4 linked regions of the Nothobranchius furzeri genome follow. Each later gene encodes a partner of the first gene's protein in a complex. Links are inferred from orthologs where the notes say so. Each region holds a gene or a part of one and is shown on either strand. Other genes may lie near its edges. The genes, in order: orc4, orc5, orc3 and orc2.

The links.
Region 2: the proteins of orc4 (region 1) and orc5 are in contact, whole or in part, in a cryo-EM structure (PDB 7JPO), measured with the Homo sapiens proteins. The link is inferred for Nothobranchius furzeri from reciprocal best matches to the Homo sapiens genes ORC4 and ORC5. Residues at the interface, in NP_001177808.1 of Homo sapiens: Ser18, Gln21, Arg22, Arg25, Glu26, Cys29, Arg30, Gln31, Arg69, Thr74, Asn100, Leu102, Leu103, Gln104, Ile105, Ile109, Glu113, Arg116, Asp162, Arg277, Met281, Met284, Leu285, Asn288, Met311, Asp312, Ser313, Lys314, Asn316, Ile317; in NP_002544.1 of Homo sapiens: Ile17, Ser20, Leu21, Phe22, Gly23, Glu24, His26, His27, Phe28, Ser29, Phe30, Pro31, Tyr36, Gly37, His38, Thr39, Thr98, Phe99, Asn100, Val103, Arg104, Arg131, Glu134, Asn136, Pro139, Gly140, Arg143, Gln145, Glu146, Leu147.
Region 3: the proteins of orc4 (region 1) and orc3 are in contact, whole or in part, in a cryo-EM structure (PDB 7JPO), measured with the Homo sapiens proteins. The link is inferred for Nothobranchius furzeri from reciprocal best matches to the Homo sapiens genes ORC4 and ORC3. Residues at the interface, in NP_001177808.1 of Homo sapiens: Pro370, Lys374, Glu377, Gln381, Ser392, Gly393, Asn394, Ser395, Gln396, Arg397; in NP_036513.2 of Homo sapiens: Thr227, His260, Arg261, Leu262, Leu263, Pro264, His265, Ala266, Ser269.
Region 4: the proteins of orc4 (region 1) and orc2 are in contact, whole or in part, in a cryo-EM structure (PDB 7JPP), measured with the Homo sapiens proteins. The link is inferred for Nothobranchius furzeri from reciprocal best matches to the Homo sapiens genes ORC4 and ORC2. Residues at the interface, in NP_001177808.1 of Homo sapiens: Lys168, Asn169, Arg195, Glu200, Leu201, Lys204, Arg205; in NP_006181.1 of Homo sapiens: Asp501, Asp504, Tyr508, Ser512, Gln518, Glu522, Val554.

Annotation. Positions count from the first base shown.
Region 1 is NC_091743.1:85,852,389-85,856,636, reverse strand, and holds the start of orc4 (origin recognition complex subunit 4), read left to right. Parts: upstream 1-1,430; 5' UTR 1,431-1,504; intron 1,505-2,028; 5' UTR 2,029-2,034; coding exon 2,035-2,091; intron 2,092-2,162; coding exon 2,163-2,239; intron 2,240-2,572; coding exon 2,573-2,663; intron 2,664-2,763; coding exon 2,764-2,839; intron 2,840-2,912; coding exon 2,913-2,998; intron 2,999-3,074; coding exon 3,075-3,123; intron 3,124-3,203; coding exon 3,204-3,355; intron 3,356-3,430; coding exon 3,431-3,604; intron 3,605-4,248. UniProt on the Homo sapiens protein: Component of the origin recognition complex (ORC) that binds origins of replication. DNA-binding is ATP-dependent. The specific DNA sequences that define origins of replication have not been identified yet.
Region 2 is NC_091741.1:42,954,383-42,957,942, forward strand, and holds part of orc5 (origin recognition complex subunit 5), read left to right. Parts: intron 1-1,155; coding exon 1,156-1,268; intron 1,269-1,356; coding exon 1,357-1,404; intron 1,405-1,520; coding exon 1,521-1,631; intron 1,632-3,017; coding exon 3,018-3,130; intron 3,131-3,258; coding exon 3,259-3,304; 3' UTR 3,305-3,342; intron 3,343-3,560. UniProt on the Homo sapiens protein: Component of the origin recognition complex (ORC) that binds origins of replication. DNA-binding is ATP-dependent. The specific DNA sequences that define origins of replication have not been identified yet.
Region 3 is NC_091758.1:29,126,572-29,130,595, reverse strand, and holds the start of orc3 (origin recognition complex subunit 3), read left to right. Parts: upstream 1-1,179; 5' UTR 1,180-1,275; coding exon 1,276-1,299; intron 1,300-1,405; coding exon 1,406-1,460; intron 1,461-1,543; coding exon 1,544-1,641; intron 1,642-1,714; coding exon 1,715-1,853; intron 1,854-1,948; coding exon 1,949-2,053; intron 2,054-2,148; coding exon 2,149-2,312; intron 2,313-2,389; coding exon 2,390-2,529; intron 2,530-2,609; coding exon 2,610-2,769; intron 2,770-2,843; coding exon 2,844-2,957; intron 2,958-3,040; coding exon 3,041-3,174; intron 3,175-3,256; coding exon 3,257-3,320; intron 3,321-3,392; coding exon 3,393-3,509; intron 3,510-3,607; coding exon 3,608-3,687; intron 3,688-3,886; coding exon 3,887-4,020; intron 4,021-4,024. Other genes in the region: znf292a (zinc finger protein 292a), read left to right, coding at 1-29. UniProt on the Homo sapiens protein: Component of the origin recognition complex (ORC) that binds origins of replication. DNA-binding is ATP-dependent. The specific DNA sequences that define origins of replication have not been identified yet.
Region 4 is NC_091751.1:63,947,884-63,952,045, forward strand, and holds the start of orc2 (origin recognition complex subunit 2), read left to right. Parts: upstream 1-1,354; 5' UTR 1,355-1,491; exon of another isoform or gene 1,492-1,625; 5' UTR 1,626-1,627; coding exon 1,628-1,697; intron 1,698-1,816; coding exon 1,817-1,975; intron 1,976-2,346; coding exon 2,347-2,433; intron 2,434-2,522; coding exon 2,523-2,612; intron 2,613-2,688; coding exon 2,689-2,720; intron 2,721-2,799; coding exon 2,800-2,857; intron 2,858-2,932; coding exon 2,933-3,231; intron 3,232-3,310; coding exon 3,311-3,420; intron 3,421-4,162. UniProt on the Homo sapiens protein: Component of the origin recognition complex (ORC) that binds origins of replication. DNA-binding is ATP-dependent. The specific DNA sequences that define origins of replication have not been identified yet.

The sequences.
Region 1 (4,248 bases):
AGACGATGACACTGGACACAAGTCAACAAAAATAAACAACACAAACTACACAGTTATTTGCCTGTCATAAAATGTAAATAAACACAAAACATTTTCACTACAACAAGAACATTTTATAATACACAAAAACATGAGGACACATGAAAACACAAATAATACAGAAATTTTTTATTAATTATTTTGGTGTAGGAAACCACTTTTAGTAAGTTTACCGAAAACACATTATGTTTATGTAAGACACAGGGTTTCACAAAAAAACAGCTAATAACATATTGAATAAAAACAAACTATGTTAAAATTGAGAATACATAGTCTAAGATAGCGTAATTAAAACAAATGCTAATAAAGATCAACAAAATACACGGAAGCTCAGCTCTGAAGGTCCAACCTGAGAAGAAGATAAATGAGTGAAGCAGAAAAATATTTTTTGTCAGCTCAGACACTCAGCTGAATATTTGAACAAAGCTGATTTACAAATGTCACAGAAAAATTGTTAATTTTTAACATTTTGGCAAATAATATTGCTAGCTCAAAGACGCTAAAATTACCCCAATTATAGCCAAAAACCTTAGATGCACATAAATAATAAAATACATAAAAGTGATTTAGATTTTAACATAGGCAAGTTAAACAACATAAGCAAGTTATTGTGTCTCTTTTATTTGTGTTGCCATTAAAAATTAAGTATTGACATGATTTTCATATAAGAAAATATTTTTAAAACACTAATGCATTGACTAAATAGACTTTTTTTGGGTATATTGTTTCATCCTGATTTTTAAAAATAACATTTTGAAGTTTGTTGTGGTGTTTTGTTCACAGCACATTTCCCACCAAAGGATCACATTACAGGATCACTGTAAAAATGCAGCACGAAATCTGTCTAAGCTTAGAATGAACTTCAGCAGATAGATGTTTAAAACTATGAAAAAACTACCAAAAGTTAGAACATGTGTAAATTAATTTATTATTATTATTATTATTATTATTATTATTATTCAGGACTTCTCAATGGAGAGGGCAAGATCACAAAACCTGAAAAAAGTAAATAATTATTCAGGATTAAATGTTTTTACAAATATACTAAATTACGAAAAACATTTTTTTCTTTATAACGTTTTGTACAACTGTTAAACAAGATAGTTAATAATTAAGTATAAATACGGTATTTTGTTTTTATGTTAAAAGATGTTGATTTGGTAATTCAGCTCTTTTTTATGCCAGTAGGGGGCAACATTCAAACTTCTACAGCTTTTATGTCTAAAATACGTATCTCTTATTCGGTTATAAAAAATTGGAAAAAATAGAGCTATTTATGAAATCTTATTTTAATTTAACGTGCAGCTTTTACGCATTCATCCATTCTTACGTCCGTTTACCTCAAACTTCATCTTCGCTTTATTTTGCTTGTTTCTGTCTCAGCCAATCAGGAAGGAGATCCAGCCAAAGCAGGAAGTCGTCATCATTGCGTTCCCGCGAAGGTTTGCACACGACGAAATCTCAGGTAAGCCATCTATATTTACCACAACTATATTCGTGTACACGTTTTTATTGAGAAACAACATAATTTAATTTCAAACAGACCTGATTTAAACACCAAGTGTATGACGTAGAGCCAGCTGGCTCGTGCCGAGAGCACTGGACACGAGCTGAGACCAGTAGACATAATTGCTGCCAAACTAAATGGTGAAGTTAAAAGAAATGTATAAATTCCTCCTTTCTGACTGATATGAAGCAAATTCGAGCCAACTTGGAATGATCTTCTGTAAAAAAGTATTTGTTTATTAATTCGGCGCATATAATACTCACTGAAATCTTTATTATATTGTAATTTGTAGCAATTTACCATAAAATGATGGGCAATTAGAAGCTAAGCTGTCATGTGAGCATACGTATTTGAAAGTGCATCTATTTTATGAACAAACGCTTAAATTACAGGTTTCTGAGTTTACTAGAAAACTTAATAAACTGCATATAATTGGTTACACTGTTGCAGTGTTAATGTTTGACATTTACAATGTTTCACAGTTCATAATGAGCAAGAGGAAAGTGAAAGATGCCCATCTGCCTGTAGGAGAATGCATCACCCAGGTGTGGTTAACGAAAACACTCATTTATGACTTTTAAGTGCAAAAATACATAAATCTATCTTTTATTTGCAGGTTCATCAGATTTTGAGGCGGCGTTTCTGCCATCAGCAGCTCCCTGACAGACCACAGGGAGTGGAAGCTCAACACAAGTTGGTGCTTTTTTTTTTAAATAAGACACAAAAATCATTAAACAGATGAACTCTGCTGGGTTTCTAGTTATTTTGCTGCTGAGGATAATTTAAGAATAAATAATTTTATGTGCAAAATGTTTGAAAACATAGTTTTTAGTGATAAAGTGAAAACTCGGGGTTCAGATTACGTAAGATGACCCAGTTGAGTCAGGCCTGGATGACAGGTCTGTCCCAGTTTGCAGTAGGATAAAAGCTCCCAGCTGATTTCAACTCAAATCCACCTGCAACTCTGAAGATTTAACAGTTTTCACTTGTTAGTCGAAGCAGTTTTATGTTTTTATGTGCCTGCAGACACCTCGCGGAGCTGCTGAAACGAACGGCTGTCCACGGGGAGAGTAACTCTGTGCTAATAGTCGGTCCCAGAGGAGCTGGAAAAACCACGGTGAGTCTCTACAGGCTTAAACGTAACAAACACTTAAAATATGATTAATTAGCTTTAAATTCTGGAAGGGTTGCCACGTATTGACGGTAAGTTTTTGTAGCTGCTGAAGTGTGTGCTGAGGGAGCTGATGAAGGAAACAGAAGTGCACAAAAACCTCCTTCAGGTTCATCTCAACGGTAATCTAAAAAATGCTTCTGAATCCGACTTTTTGCTGGAACCAGATATTGAGATGTATTGTGCTTGCTGCAGGTCTGCTGCAGACAGACGACAGAATAGCCCTGAAAGAAATTACCCGACAACTCCACCTGGAGAATGTCGTTGGTGACAAAGTGTTTGTGAGTTTTCACACAGAGCTTTAGCTGTTCCTGCGAGAGAATCCACGCAAAAACGTTGTTTTGGTTTCATTTTCAGGGAAGTTTTGCAGAAAATTTAGCTTTTCTCCTGGACGCACTGAAAAAAGGTTAGTTTCTCAAACGGATTGTAAATGTGAATGTTTAGCTGTTATAAGCAGTGCCGAGTGCTGGTTTTGGTCTCCCGAAGGTGAGCGCAGCAGCAGCCGTCCGGTTCTGTTCGTTCTGGAGGAGTTTGACCTTTTCGCCCATCATAAGAACCAGACCCTGCTCTACAACCTGTTTGACGTCTCCCAGTCCGCCCAGGCGCCCATCGCTGTGGTCGGCCTCACGTGTCGACTGGTGAGTCTGAGAAAACCAGTTTACCATCTCCCACCATTCAGTCAGAGGATGTGAGCTTTGATTCGTTCTCTTTAGGATGTCCTTGAGCTGCTGGAGAAGCGGGTGAAGTCGCGGTTTTCCCACCGTCAGATCTACCTGCTGAGCAGCCTGACATTCACTCAGTACCTAGAGCGTGTCCAAACGCAGCTCAGCCTGCCGGGCGACTTCCCGGACAGGAAGTTTGCTCAGGAGTGGAATGCCAGCATAACGGTGAGCCCGTCCACACGTCGTCGTCTTCCTCCGCTTATCCGGGTCGCGGGGGCAGCATCCCAACTAGGGAGCTCCAGACCGTCCTCTCCCCGGCCACCTCCACCAGCTCCTCCGGCAGGACCCCAAGGCGTTCCCGGACCAGATTGGAGATGTAACCTCTCCAACGTGTCCTGGGTCAACCCGGGGGCCTCCTGCCGGCAGGACATGCCCGAAACACCTCCTCAGGGAGGCGTCCAGGAGGCATCCTGACCAGATGCCCAAACCACCTCAACTGACTCCTTTCGATCCGGAGGAGCAGCGGTTCTACTCCGAGTCCCTCCCGAATGTCCTAGCTCCTCACCCTATCTCTAAGGCTGAGCCCGGCCACCCTACGGAGGAAACTCATTTCGGCCGCTTGTATCCGCGATCTCGTTCTTTCGGTCATTACCCAAAGCTCATGACCATAGGTGAGGATTGGGACGTAGATCGACCGGTAAATCGAGAGCCTGGCTTTCTGGCTCAGCTCCCTCTTCACCACGACAGATCGGCTCAGCGTCCGCATCACTGCAGACGCCGAACCAATCCGCCTGTCGATCTCCCGATCCCTCCTACCCTCACTCGTGAACAAGACCCCGAGATACTTAAACTCCTCCACTTGAGGTAGG
Region 2 (3,560 bases), on another chromosome or scaffold:
AATTATGATGCAACATTACCTTCACCATTTAGAAACTGAATCCCAAACGCTGTTATTACTGAAAAAATAACATTAACACCTTTTATAAAAAAAATACAGCTTATTACAAATAATTTTTGCCAGAAAAAAACAGCATTTTTCTTTTCTAGCTTCAACATTGCAGGTTATGGACCAACAACTTTCCCTGCGGTGCTGACAGTTTGCTCCGATGTGAGCTTGTGGTGCAGATGCAAGCTTTCAAGCCAGTCACGACCTCTCGGGAAGAGACTAGCAGCATGTTTCCACCAGAAAAGTGATTTGTCATCTCCTTGAATAACAGGCTTCAAATAAGCTGTTGCTTCATATCTAGATTGTTTCTCTGCAGTGCCGACGGAACCCAACGTCACCTCTTTATGCACGGGAACGTTCGTTGAAGGGGAAACGCAGATTGACATAACATCGGCTCTCTTTTATCATTTGCTTTGAACCCGAATTACTTCCAAACTTCAGAAACAGTTTTATTTATTTTTCTATTTTTTTACACCAAGTCAGTGAATGTGGGACCTGCTATCTTCCCCCCCCCCCCCCCTCTCTCTCTCTCTCTCTCTCTCTCTCTCTCTCTCTCTTTCTCTCTCTCTCTCTCTCTCTCTCTCTCTCTCTCTCTCTCTCTCTCTCTCTTTCCCTCTCCTCTGCACTCTCTCTCTCCTCTGCACTGTCACATGACAGCGTCATGTTCATAAACTTTGTGGAATGTCTCCCAATAGTCTGCCATCACTATTTAAATAAAACAGACAAATCAACCATACATCAGTTTTACACATCAATTTACTTTTTACATATTAAATTGTTTTAAAAAAATTCATTCTTATCTAAGTGCACTGCGGTTTTTTTTTTCAGGACGGTATTGTCACTGATATCGTTGCTATTTTTAAACACCGTCTATACGGCATTACCATAATACAGCCCATGAGGATCCAGCATTGTCACAACTCTGCTCGGCCTTTTTTTCCCTCTCCCAATTCTCCTCATGTAATCCCCTCTTCAACTATTATCTAACGGTAGCGCGACTCTTGTTGCGAATGACCACAGTACCAATTCTTCTGTACTGAAACAATCGCCCCTCGGGGATGATTAAAGTTTTTTTGAATTGAATTGAATTGTTTTTTTCCTTCAAAGGTTTGTCAGCTCACACTCATGTTGAACTTCCTTATTACTCCAAGTTCCTGCTGATTGCTGCCTACCTGGCCTCCTACAACCCGGCTCGCACTGATAAACGCTTCTTTGTGAAGGTAGAACAGTTACAGTTCATTACATACCTGCTATTTTATTTTCCTAAACTGGTTTTAAGATGCTGTGTTTTCCCTTTCTGCCTCGCAGCATCACGGTAAAATACGAAAAACAAACTTCTTGAAGAAAAATGAAAAGGTGAGAGGTCAAACTCACCTAAAATCTAAAACATCAGCCATTGAAATTAATCAATTTTCTTCTGGGATTAATAAAGTATTTTTGAATCGAATTGAATTGAATTCTGTCTCTTTTAGACGAGTAACCACCTTCTTGGGCCGAAGCCCTTTCCTCTGGACCGTCTACTCGCCATTTTTTACAGTGTGGTGGACAGCAGAGTGGCCCCGACTGCTAGCATATTCTCCCAGGTCTGATCATTTTTAGGAGTACTTTATTAACATTTCTGTTCAGAAAATGTGAGGAAAAACCTTTATGCCAAAAAGTTTTTGCTTTTCTTTCACACAAAGAAGATTTTGCTTCTTAAAATGTCATTTTTGTCTGGATTTCAATTTCAAATCTAAAAATACGAGCACTGAAAAAATAAACTTTAGTCAAATAAAGTGAAACTTTTACATTTCAATACCAACTGACAACATAGTTGTAGAAAAGATTTTTTAATTTTATCAGAGTTGTGTTGAAACTACATCGAAGTAGATTTTATTAATGAGTTTCTATTTTAAATAACATTTGAACAAAGGCTTTTATCTGCTGGTGGTGTTAAGGGTGTTTTGTGTCTTTAACTTGTAAAATACAGACTAAACCTTAACCTTTAAAAAAATTAATCCAGAGGTTTGATATTTCAAAGCCTTTAAATTAGTGTTTTCCTGCATTTCTAAACACCTATTTAACTTACTTGAAGAAACTAACATGTTTTTAATATTTTAAGCAAAATTACATTCTAAATTTGGATTTTGCCGTTTAAAGAAGCAATCAAAGAAAGTGCATTGTTGCAAATATTTGGCCACCCGTTGTTTTTTGCCATTAAACATTAAAAAATGATTTCCCTTTTACAAATGCTCTTTACTGTTTCTGATGAATGTTTCCTGCAAAAAAATATTTTCAGTGTTTTACATCCACTGCTTTCATGGAAAGAGGATTTTAATTGAGTTTAAGCTGATGAAGTCAAAATAAATAATACATGATTCTGGTATTTAGATGAATAAAATCTTTTAATGTAATGTTTCTTCTCTGCTGCACACACACACACACACACACACACACACACACACACACACACATATTTATTGGTTGGTGATGATATTTTAAAAGTTAAAGTCCATTAGTCATCATCACATGCTGATGAAATTGCATCTCCGCATTTGACCCATCCCCGTGGGGAGCGGTGAGCCGCAGCTGTGGCTGCACTTGGGAACTATTTGGTGTTTTAAACCCCAATCCAACCCCTTAAAGCTGAGCGTCAAGCAGGAAGTTATTGGGGCTCATTTTTAAAGTCTTGGGTTTGATCTGACTGGGATTTGAACACTGATATCCCAGTCTCAGGGCGGACACACCACTAGGCCACTGAGATGGGAAATGTGAAGAGCATTTCGAGCAAATGGAATAAAAGCTCCAGAAAAACATCTCATACTGCACCTTTAATAAACAGAGGGTTTCCTCAGATCTACGAAAAGTTCTGATTAAAATGCCTTCAGGAAATCTGTGTTTCTGCATTCCAATATTTAGAGCTGCTGTGTCAAAGTGAATCAGCCGTCTGTTCCAGGATCAGAGAATCATTCTGTTCCTCCTCCCTTTAGATCTCCTCTCTGGTGACCCTGCAGCTGCTGGTTCAGATCAGCCATGACGACCAACTCGATGCCCCAAAATACAAGTGTGCAGTTACTCTGGATTTCATTTCTGCCATATCCAGGTGTGTGTGTGTGTGTGTGTGTGTGTTATCTGTTATCACACGACAGAGAGTTGCCAAATTAATCAAGGGATGTGACCTTTTATAGTGTTATGGAGAATGTGCTTGGTGTGATTTTTTTTTTTTTTCAGGACTGTGAACTTTGATATTGTGAAGTATCTGTACGACTTCCTGTGAGCCAGCGGGGCCTGAAGGAGAGAAGACGCACAATGATGGTAAGATATGAAAGATTTATGCGTGCAGGAACACACTTCAAGACAAGTGTTTGGCAGAATAAACGGTCCAGACTTCTGTTATGTGGAGGAAAATTAATCTGATTATAATTCTGCCCCCTTGTGGCTGATATGAATTACAAACGATCTCAAATATTCAAATTTGTAGTAAACAAACTTTAAAAAATCACACAAGTTTCATCAGTTTTAGAAAAATATCC
Region 3 (4,024 bases), on another chromosome or scaffold:
TAAAAAAGAGGATTTTTAGTGAATCATAGCTCATTTTGTTGTTGTCTTTTTGTTTCCTACCCTGTCTTACTCAGGATTTGAGACGTTATGCTGCAGAATGATTTGTTTCTTAATGCATCAGATTTCCAACTGTTAACAGTCATGGTCACAGTTAACAATGAAATGGCCTATTTTGTACCTAATTGAAAAAATATGTCTCTGATGATTTTAACTATGTATGTTAGTTATAATAACCAGGTAAGCTATAGGGCATAGATTTTAGAACCATGTTTGTATTTATGCTTAGTACTGAATATGTTTTTTTTCTTTTACTAAATGGACACCTTTTAAAGAAAACTATGTTTTTATAAATATCCCTATGGGATTTCGAGTCCTGTTTGTATTTATTTCATCCCTTTTCAACACTAGTAGACCTATCTGTAATATTTACATGTCTTCCACAAAGTGTTCAATAAAATGTTACTGGTTCTTTTTTATAAAAGCACGAGTGAAATCTTGTCTTTTTAAAAATGTCATCAATTTGATCTACAAATACAACAACACAGCTGCTTAAACCCAGTTATTCATGAAATTGTAACTTCTTGAATTAAATAAACTTTCAAAGATGATCTCATAAACCATTTTAATTTATAGCACATTTAAAAACGGCATGATCAAAGTGCTGTACACGGAAGGATTAAGATTCTGGGAAAGGGATAAAATGCAGCATTCACAAATTGGACGAAGCTAGAGCCAGTTTAAAAGATTTAAATTATACTTTATTATAATCTGCAGAATCACATTCATAATGTATTGTCAATATGTTTACTTTATTCATAAGTAGTTTATGAAGCTGTTCTGAATTTATAACAAGCTCCATTTTTATTTTTATTTAAATTCAAATAAAGCCAAATTACTTTTAATCTAAAACTAAAAGATGTGGTAAACAAGACTAATACACATTGTGGATTACATGCATTTTATAATACACAGAAAATGTGTTTAATATTTGAGTCATTCAATTTTTAGACAGCTTTGTGATATTTAAATATAAACACACAAAATAAAATATATGTGTGTGATCACGGTTACATTTTGTTGTCTATTATATTCTATGGCGGCATCTAATTATATGCTATAGCGGCTACATCTAATTATATGCTATAGCGGCTTGCCATACATTCTAACACTTCCAACCTTTTCCGTAAACGTCACTCTGGCGGGAAGTCGCGGCTACGTTTCATGAAAAGTAGCGTTTTTTTAAAAAAGAAACTACTACAAAGAGTTTGAAGAAAGATGGCCACCTCTTCTGTTTCAAAGGTAACTTCTTATAGCTTGTTGTCGTTCAACGACGTTTCTATTAACAAAAATGGAGACCTCGCGATATTTGCGTCAGACTCGACTGTGTTTTGCTGTGTCCCTTTAGGGCTGCTTTGTTTTCAAGCCCAGCGCTAAAAAGAAGAAAAAGACCCTTGATTTGGGTGAGCTATGTTACATTAGACAGAGAAGAGTTGTTAGTTGGATCTGTTTGTTGCGATATAAACGTGTCTGTATTTTTACACAGAGAGCTATTTCACTGATGGCTGTGAAGATGCACGGAGCAGTGAGTTGAGATTCGAGCTCTGCCAGGATCTGTGGGACCAAATCAAAACTGAGACAGAAGTAAGAACAAATTATAATATCAAAAAAATACAGAGAATGTGCAGATCAGCATAATCTTTTTTTTTTAAATAAGATTTTACAGGATGAGCTCAACAGAAAAGTTCTGGACAGTTTGTTGGAGTTCACCAAAAAATGCTCCTCCATCCGCCATCACAGTGACTGGACCTCACAGATGAGAGCAAGTGAAATTCCCACAGCCGCTCTCATCCTTGGTACCCAGTAGTTATTGTTTTGTTTTTTCAAGCTGCTAACTTGCATTATTACAAAAATCCCGCAAGCTGCATTTGACTTTCATCTCTCACTGCAGGCGTGAACGTCACAGATCATGACATGACCTTCCAGAGTCTGTCTGAGCTGCTCCAGACGTCTGTCACCCCCCATGTGGCGTCTGTGCAAGCCAAAGAGTGTGGAGGTGATGGGAAAAGCTTCAAAATATACAAACGCGTCAGGATTTTACTGTAAATGTCACAATATTCAGGAGTAGACTTTTTGGTTTTATTATTTCAGCTCTTAAGCATTTGATGAAGAAGGTTCTGGAGAGATTGATGGACACGGTTGTAGCTGTAGGTGATGATGATGATGATGAGGTGGAGGAGGAAACGGAGCAGCACCACAGGAGTGTTCACTGCTCCTTGACGACTCTCTGCGATTGGTATAGTAAGAAAACAAAGGTGAGGACACGACGCAGGTCCGCTCATGCAGGTTTTTAATTCGGCGAGGTGAAAACAAACGTTTTCTTGGGTTTAAGAAATCCAGCAGTGGAACTCCCGGAAAAAAGCGCAGTTCTTTGGTCGTTAACGAGCAGCAGGAGCCTCCGGTGGTGATCGTCTTCAAAGATTTGGAAGCTTTTAATCCGAGAGTTCTTCAGGACTTCATCCTTGTCTGCAGGTGACTTTAGAGCAGACACGTGAGAAGCTCTCACGGTTTACGTTGGAAGGTTAAAACTGCGTCTGATGATTGATCCACAGCCGTTACGTTCAGCGTCTTCCCCTGATGTTTATCTTCGGGATCGCCACGGCGCCCAGCACCATCCAGCACATGCTGCCTCACTCTGTGTCCTCGCTGCTGTGCATAGAGCTCTTCCAGTCCCTGTCCTGCTCTCAGCATCTCACCACCGTCATAGAAAAGGTGCCTTCACCGTGACATCTGTGCATGCTGATCGAAGATTTTGAATCTGATAAAAGTCCATCCCTTCTTTCCAGTTGATCCTGACACATTCTTTTCCCTTCAAACTCAACGGGAAAGTGATGCAGGTGCTGGTGGGCATCTTCCTCTACCACGACTTCTCAGTCAAAAACTTCATTAAGGGCCTGCAGGTGAGGATCGGGGTCTAAACGAGTAAGGTATGTAAATGTAAGGGACTGATTTTCTCCCGACTATCTTCCCGTCCTGGGTGCAGCTGGCCCTGCTGGAGCACTTTTACTCGCAGCCCCTCAGCGTGCTGTGCTGTAGGAAGGAGAAGGCTCTGCTGAACCTGAAACACCTTCGCCATGATGACCTGGAGAGGGTCAGGCAGCTCCCGTCGTTCAGGAGGTGAACAAAACCAGCTGAGATGATCATTTTCTATAACTGAATGAAAAAAAAAAAAGCTCTTTGTGTTAAAATTCGTTTTTAGGTTTGTGGAAAAGCAAGAAATAGAAGAGCAGGAAAAGCTCAGGACGGATGACTCTCATTTAAAGGTTTGTTAAAGATTTCAGTTTTTAGACGACTTTTTTTTTGTGCACAGGATTTTATCCTTTTTGTGATTTTAGAACGTTTGTCAAAAACTGATGAAGGATCTTCACAAATACCACAAGTGCTATTATCCCATTTTGAGGTGTCTCCACACTCTGACCTCATCGTTGCCTCGATACCCTCTCGGAAAACAGGCAAGAAAACAGTTTTAAACTTTCATTTAAACCATCTTTTTGCTTTGGTCTCACTTCGTTCTTTGATTTTTGGAGTCTCCTTTTTCTTACTGCTGCAGATCAGGGAGCTGCACTTGATTTGCCTGGAGAAGAACGTGTGGGAGGCGGAGGAGTACCAGTCAGCTGTGAATCTTTTAAAGTAAGCTGAGCTCAACATAAAACTTGTAATTTTTTTATTTTTTGAGGCATTTCTATTTAGCTATTTTGATGTAAACGCAATGCCATCTCTCCATTCAGTTGCAGCCAGTTAGATTTGCCACTAGGTGGCGACAAAGTTGTGGGATTTTTAGAGGTGTTCCTCCCCCTGGTGGTCAGTATTTTTGTACTTTTTTCTTCAGGATGCTGGCGAAAGACGAGCTGATCTCTTTGCTGCAGAAATGTGCAGAAATCCTGCAGCCCATCAGGTCAACTCAGATGAAGAGTGCTTGCGTCCAACTGGAGGAACTACTGTCCAAATTCCAGCAGCTGGATGGTAG
Region 4 (4,162 bases), on another chromosome or scaffold:
ATGCTGATGTTGTTTCAGTGATAACGTAGTTTTTTATTAAAGCTCAGTCATTTCAGTTTTTATTTTAAATCAATATAATAGGAATTATCAACCAGAACAAACCCAAACTTATGAGCGAGTGTATTTCCCTGCCTCGCCCCATGAGATCTCCGAGGAAGACATAAAAATGAATAACATCCAGAAGATTAAAGGAGGAATTTAGATCCACATAAAGGAGATTTTATACATGGTGGATTGTATTCATACAGAATTGAAGATGTTCTTGTCAAAAAAGTGCAGATATTGTCTTGTGTAAAACTGTATCAACTAAATTTTTGTAGTGAAAGGTGAAAAAATAAACTGTTTCAATGAGCAAAAGTGAATCCAAAGTGTTAAATAGTTTTCTAAATCTGGATTCTCACGAACAAATTTGTCAGTATAAATATAGACGCAACACTTTTGTTTTTGCTCCCATTTTTCATGAGCTGAACTGAAACCTCTGAAACTTTTTCTACATGCGGTGGGATGGATCATCTTGGTAGAGGGAAAGTGCTCACTAACACACACACACACGTAGACAGATTTCAGAATAATATTTGAGGCCGCTAGAACGAAAAGACTTAACTAATAGCAAGACATCTAAATCCCCTTTCTTTAGTGAATCTTTAACCGGATTGTGGAGTTGAATGAATACTAAATAAACAATAATCACAGCATCAAACGTGACACACACTGATTCTCAAGACTACTTGAAATTGAAACTGAATGAAAAAAATAAACATGGCAATAAAATGCCCTTTACAGATTACCAAGAAATGTGATTCTTATTGAAAATGACCACAAACTGAATGTAACTTGAAATATGGACATTAACTAATGTCAGATCAGATATCAACCTGAATCATTAAAGTATTTTAATCAGTATCCAGTCAATCCTTGTATTTAGGATTTGGTTTAATCCTAATTTATTATTTTTATAATTCATATATTATTTTTAAACATATTTGTAATCATTTTTTAAATCTTTTTATACTTGAATTTTTTGGTTTTGTGAAGCGCCTCGTGATTTTTAACTTGAGAGAAAAGATCGTTCTCTTTCTTTCTTTTCTTTACAACGTTAAACTTTATTTTCACAGTTCTATTTTCATTATTTTCACTACTTCTTCTTTTCTGTGCTTAAGCGTGTCATATTGTGTCCATTACATTTGATCTTACCTGTACAAAGTTTTTTCTACTGCTGTGAATTAGAGTAAGAATACCTGACTTGAATATTATTTGTCTGTGGACTTGTGACAGGCGGACTTGTTGAAAGGATTCTTGGGAAACGTAGTTTTACTGCTACTAGCGTTTTGATTGGCCACTTTATGACCTTTCCACTCAGTCACGTGATTTAAAATGTTCAGAATGGCGCGGAAACTTGTCACATCGCTTCTCAATTAAACTTTCCGACTTTAAAGTTTTGTTTATGTTTTAAATTTTATATTGTTTTGCGGACTTTTTCCGCCCGTTTGAGTAAGTCTCGACCTTTTGCGCTCACTTTCCTCAGCTTTAGCGCGAGAGTTCAAACCGACTCTAGTAGCAGGGCTAATTGTGTGTTTTGCTGCGTGGCTTCAGGCTTGTATCGTGTGTTTTGTGTTTATTGGTAGAAATGAGCGTGTTGGAGGTGAAGTTCGTTGGGGATGGGGATGTTTTGGAGCACATCGTGGACAAACAGGAGGGTATGAGCTGGTTTATCTCTGCTGTTTTGTTTTTTGCCCATTCGCTCTCGTTTTATGTGTGCGTGTGTGTGTGTGCGCGCGCGCGCGCGCGTGTGTGTGTGTGTGTGTGTTGTGACTAGTATTGCAGAGCAGTGCTGGCTCTGGGCTGAGGATGGTGAAGTTTAAGAGCCCGGCTGGACAGAGGGAATGCCTGGAGGAGACTCGGTGTGATGGAGATGAAAACGGAGTCCATGATGAGCTGGGTTATGTCCGAGCTTTAGGAACTGAAAACGATGAAGGTATCCCTTCCTTGGTTCTGGTTTTGTCCTGCTGCATTTTCACCCTCATCCTCCACTCTTCCATCCATAAATCTGCTCTTTGGCTTTCCTCCACGACTCCTGCCTGGCTGTTCCAGCCTGAGCATCCTTCTGCAGATTCCTCCATGTCCAAACCATCTTAGCCTGATCTTATTTCAAATCATCTAACGCAGTCCCTCTAATCCTGATCCTGTCACTCCTGAAGACAATCTCAACATTTTCACCTGCCCTGCCTCCTGTCTTCTCGGTGCCACTGTAGATCATCGAGTTTAGTATTTTGACATTACCTAATAAAGCCATAACATGAACCTAAATGTCTCTTAATGCCACTAATATGTTCTTTGGCTTCACAGAAGTAGACGATAATCCTTCTAGAGTTGCTGGTTCCTCCATCTTCACCTTCCAGAAAGTCAAACGAAGTCACAGCTTGGCCCAAACTGGTGAATCTCCGATTACCTCTCGAACGAAGGCTCAACGTTCATCTTCAGCTGCATTTATTAAACCGTTGTTTTGTTGTTTCCCTTCGTAGCGAGCGAACTGGCTCGGACCCCGGGAAAAAGCGTGAGCTTCACCAGGGACACAAACTCGGAACCCACCACTCCCTCTCGGACAGGCAGCAGTGAGTCGAGCGAACCCACTCCCCGTCCGCCTGTGCTCTCATTATGAAATGATCAGGTTTACTTTTGTCTGTCTAGGCCACGCAGGTGAAAACAGGACACCACAGAGGGTGAGAGAGCTAATACATTTCACTTTATCCAGTGAAGGATTTAGTTTGTTTTAATTTAGTTTTGTTTCTCCTGAAACAGAAAAAGAGTGTCCGGTTTGTCTCCACCACCCCTCACAGACTCAGGAAGAGACTTACAGGTACGCCTGGCCTGTTGTAGTTGTGTTCGTTTAGTAACGCTGGTGTAATCTGGGTGTGGTGGGGCTTATTTTCAGCACCAACTCTTCGGTCTGACAGCGACAGTGAACTCTCCCCCTCTGACTCTGAGGAGGACGAGCTCAAAGAAGAGCAGAGAGGGAAGCAAGAGGACAAGGAGAATGTGAAAAAGACGAGAACCCCTAGTAAAGGGCTTTCTGCAGCTCTCTACAAGACTCCTGCCAAGAGGAGCAAGAACACAGCCGAGCCTCTGAATCAGCCCACCATGACCGAGGAGTATTTTGAGGCTCATGGCAGCTCAAAGGTCCTGACGTCGGACCGGACCCTCCAGCGTTTGCACACCCCTAAGTTTGACCGGGTGTGTGAATTAAAAGTTACATGTTAGTCCATTATAATAAACCTTTGGCTAAACTCCACCTCTTTTACTTTTTGGACAGGAGACGTTGGATCGTCTTTTAGAAGATAAACCGTCTTGCTACTCAAAAGAGATCCAGCAGCTGCACGACAAACACAGGAAGCACTTTAACAAATGGATGTTACAGCTGCAGTGAGTGTGGCGGCGTGCCCTTTCCTACGGTTTGACTCTGTTCTACTAAAACGTCTCCCTAGGGGTTGTATGAACTAGTCGACTTCACGGCTCTGTAGTGACTTTTTATGCCTGTCATCGACTAGTCGCTGTCACGTGATAATGACTGACAAGATGCAGTCCTCCAGCAGGTGATGAGCCCCTGCGTCGGGAGGCGGAGGCGACGCGCTGTGCCAGAGCGTCGGTACTGACACCGGCGGTAAAACGGACATTTAACCAAACTGTGACCTTTACCCTCTTGCAATTTAACCTTCCCCTCACCCCCATCCTAATCTTAACCAGTTTGCGCATGCAAAGCTCTGATCGTTGACGCGCTCCAGACATCTGCGTCCAGAGCACCGCCAAATCAGGTGTCACCACCTCAAAAACTAACTAAACACGCGATCGTTCATGTCGGCTCATTTCCTTTCATGTTTTCTGTCTGTTATTTGTGCCTGATGCGTTTCGCTGCTGCGGAGCGAGGCTCTTCACCTGTTTTGTCCTCCGGTGACGCACCCCCAAGATTCCACTATCTCCGCTCCGGCACGAACTCCGCAGCAAAAACGGTCCCGTTGTAGTCGGCCGGCGAGCAGCGGCACTCCGCTGTTTTTGCGGTCGGTAGATCTTTTAGAACTGCAGTTCAAAGGTAACTCATAAGGTGAATATATATGAACCCAGGTAGCAGTTTTTCTTTAGGACTGAGAGGAGATGCAGGAAGATAATA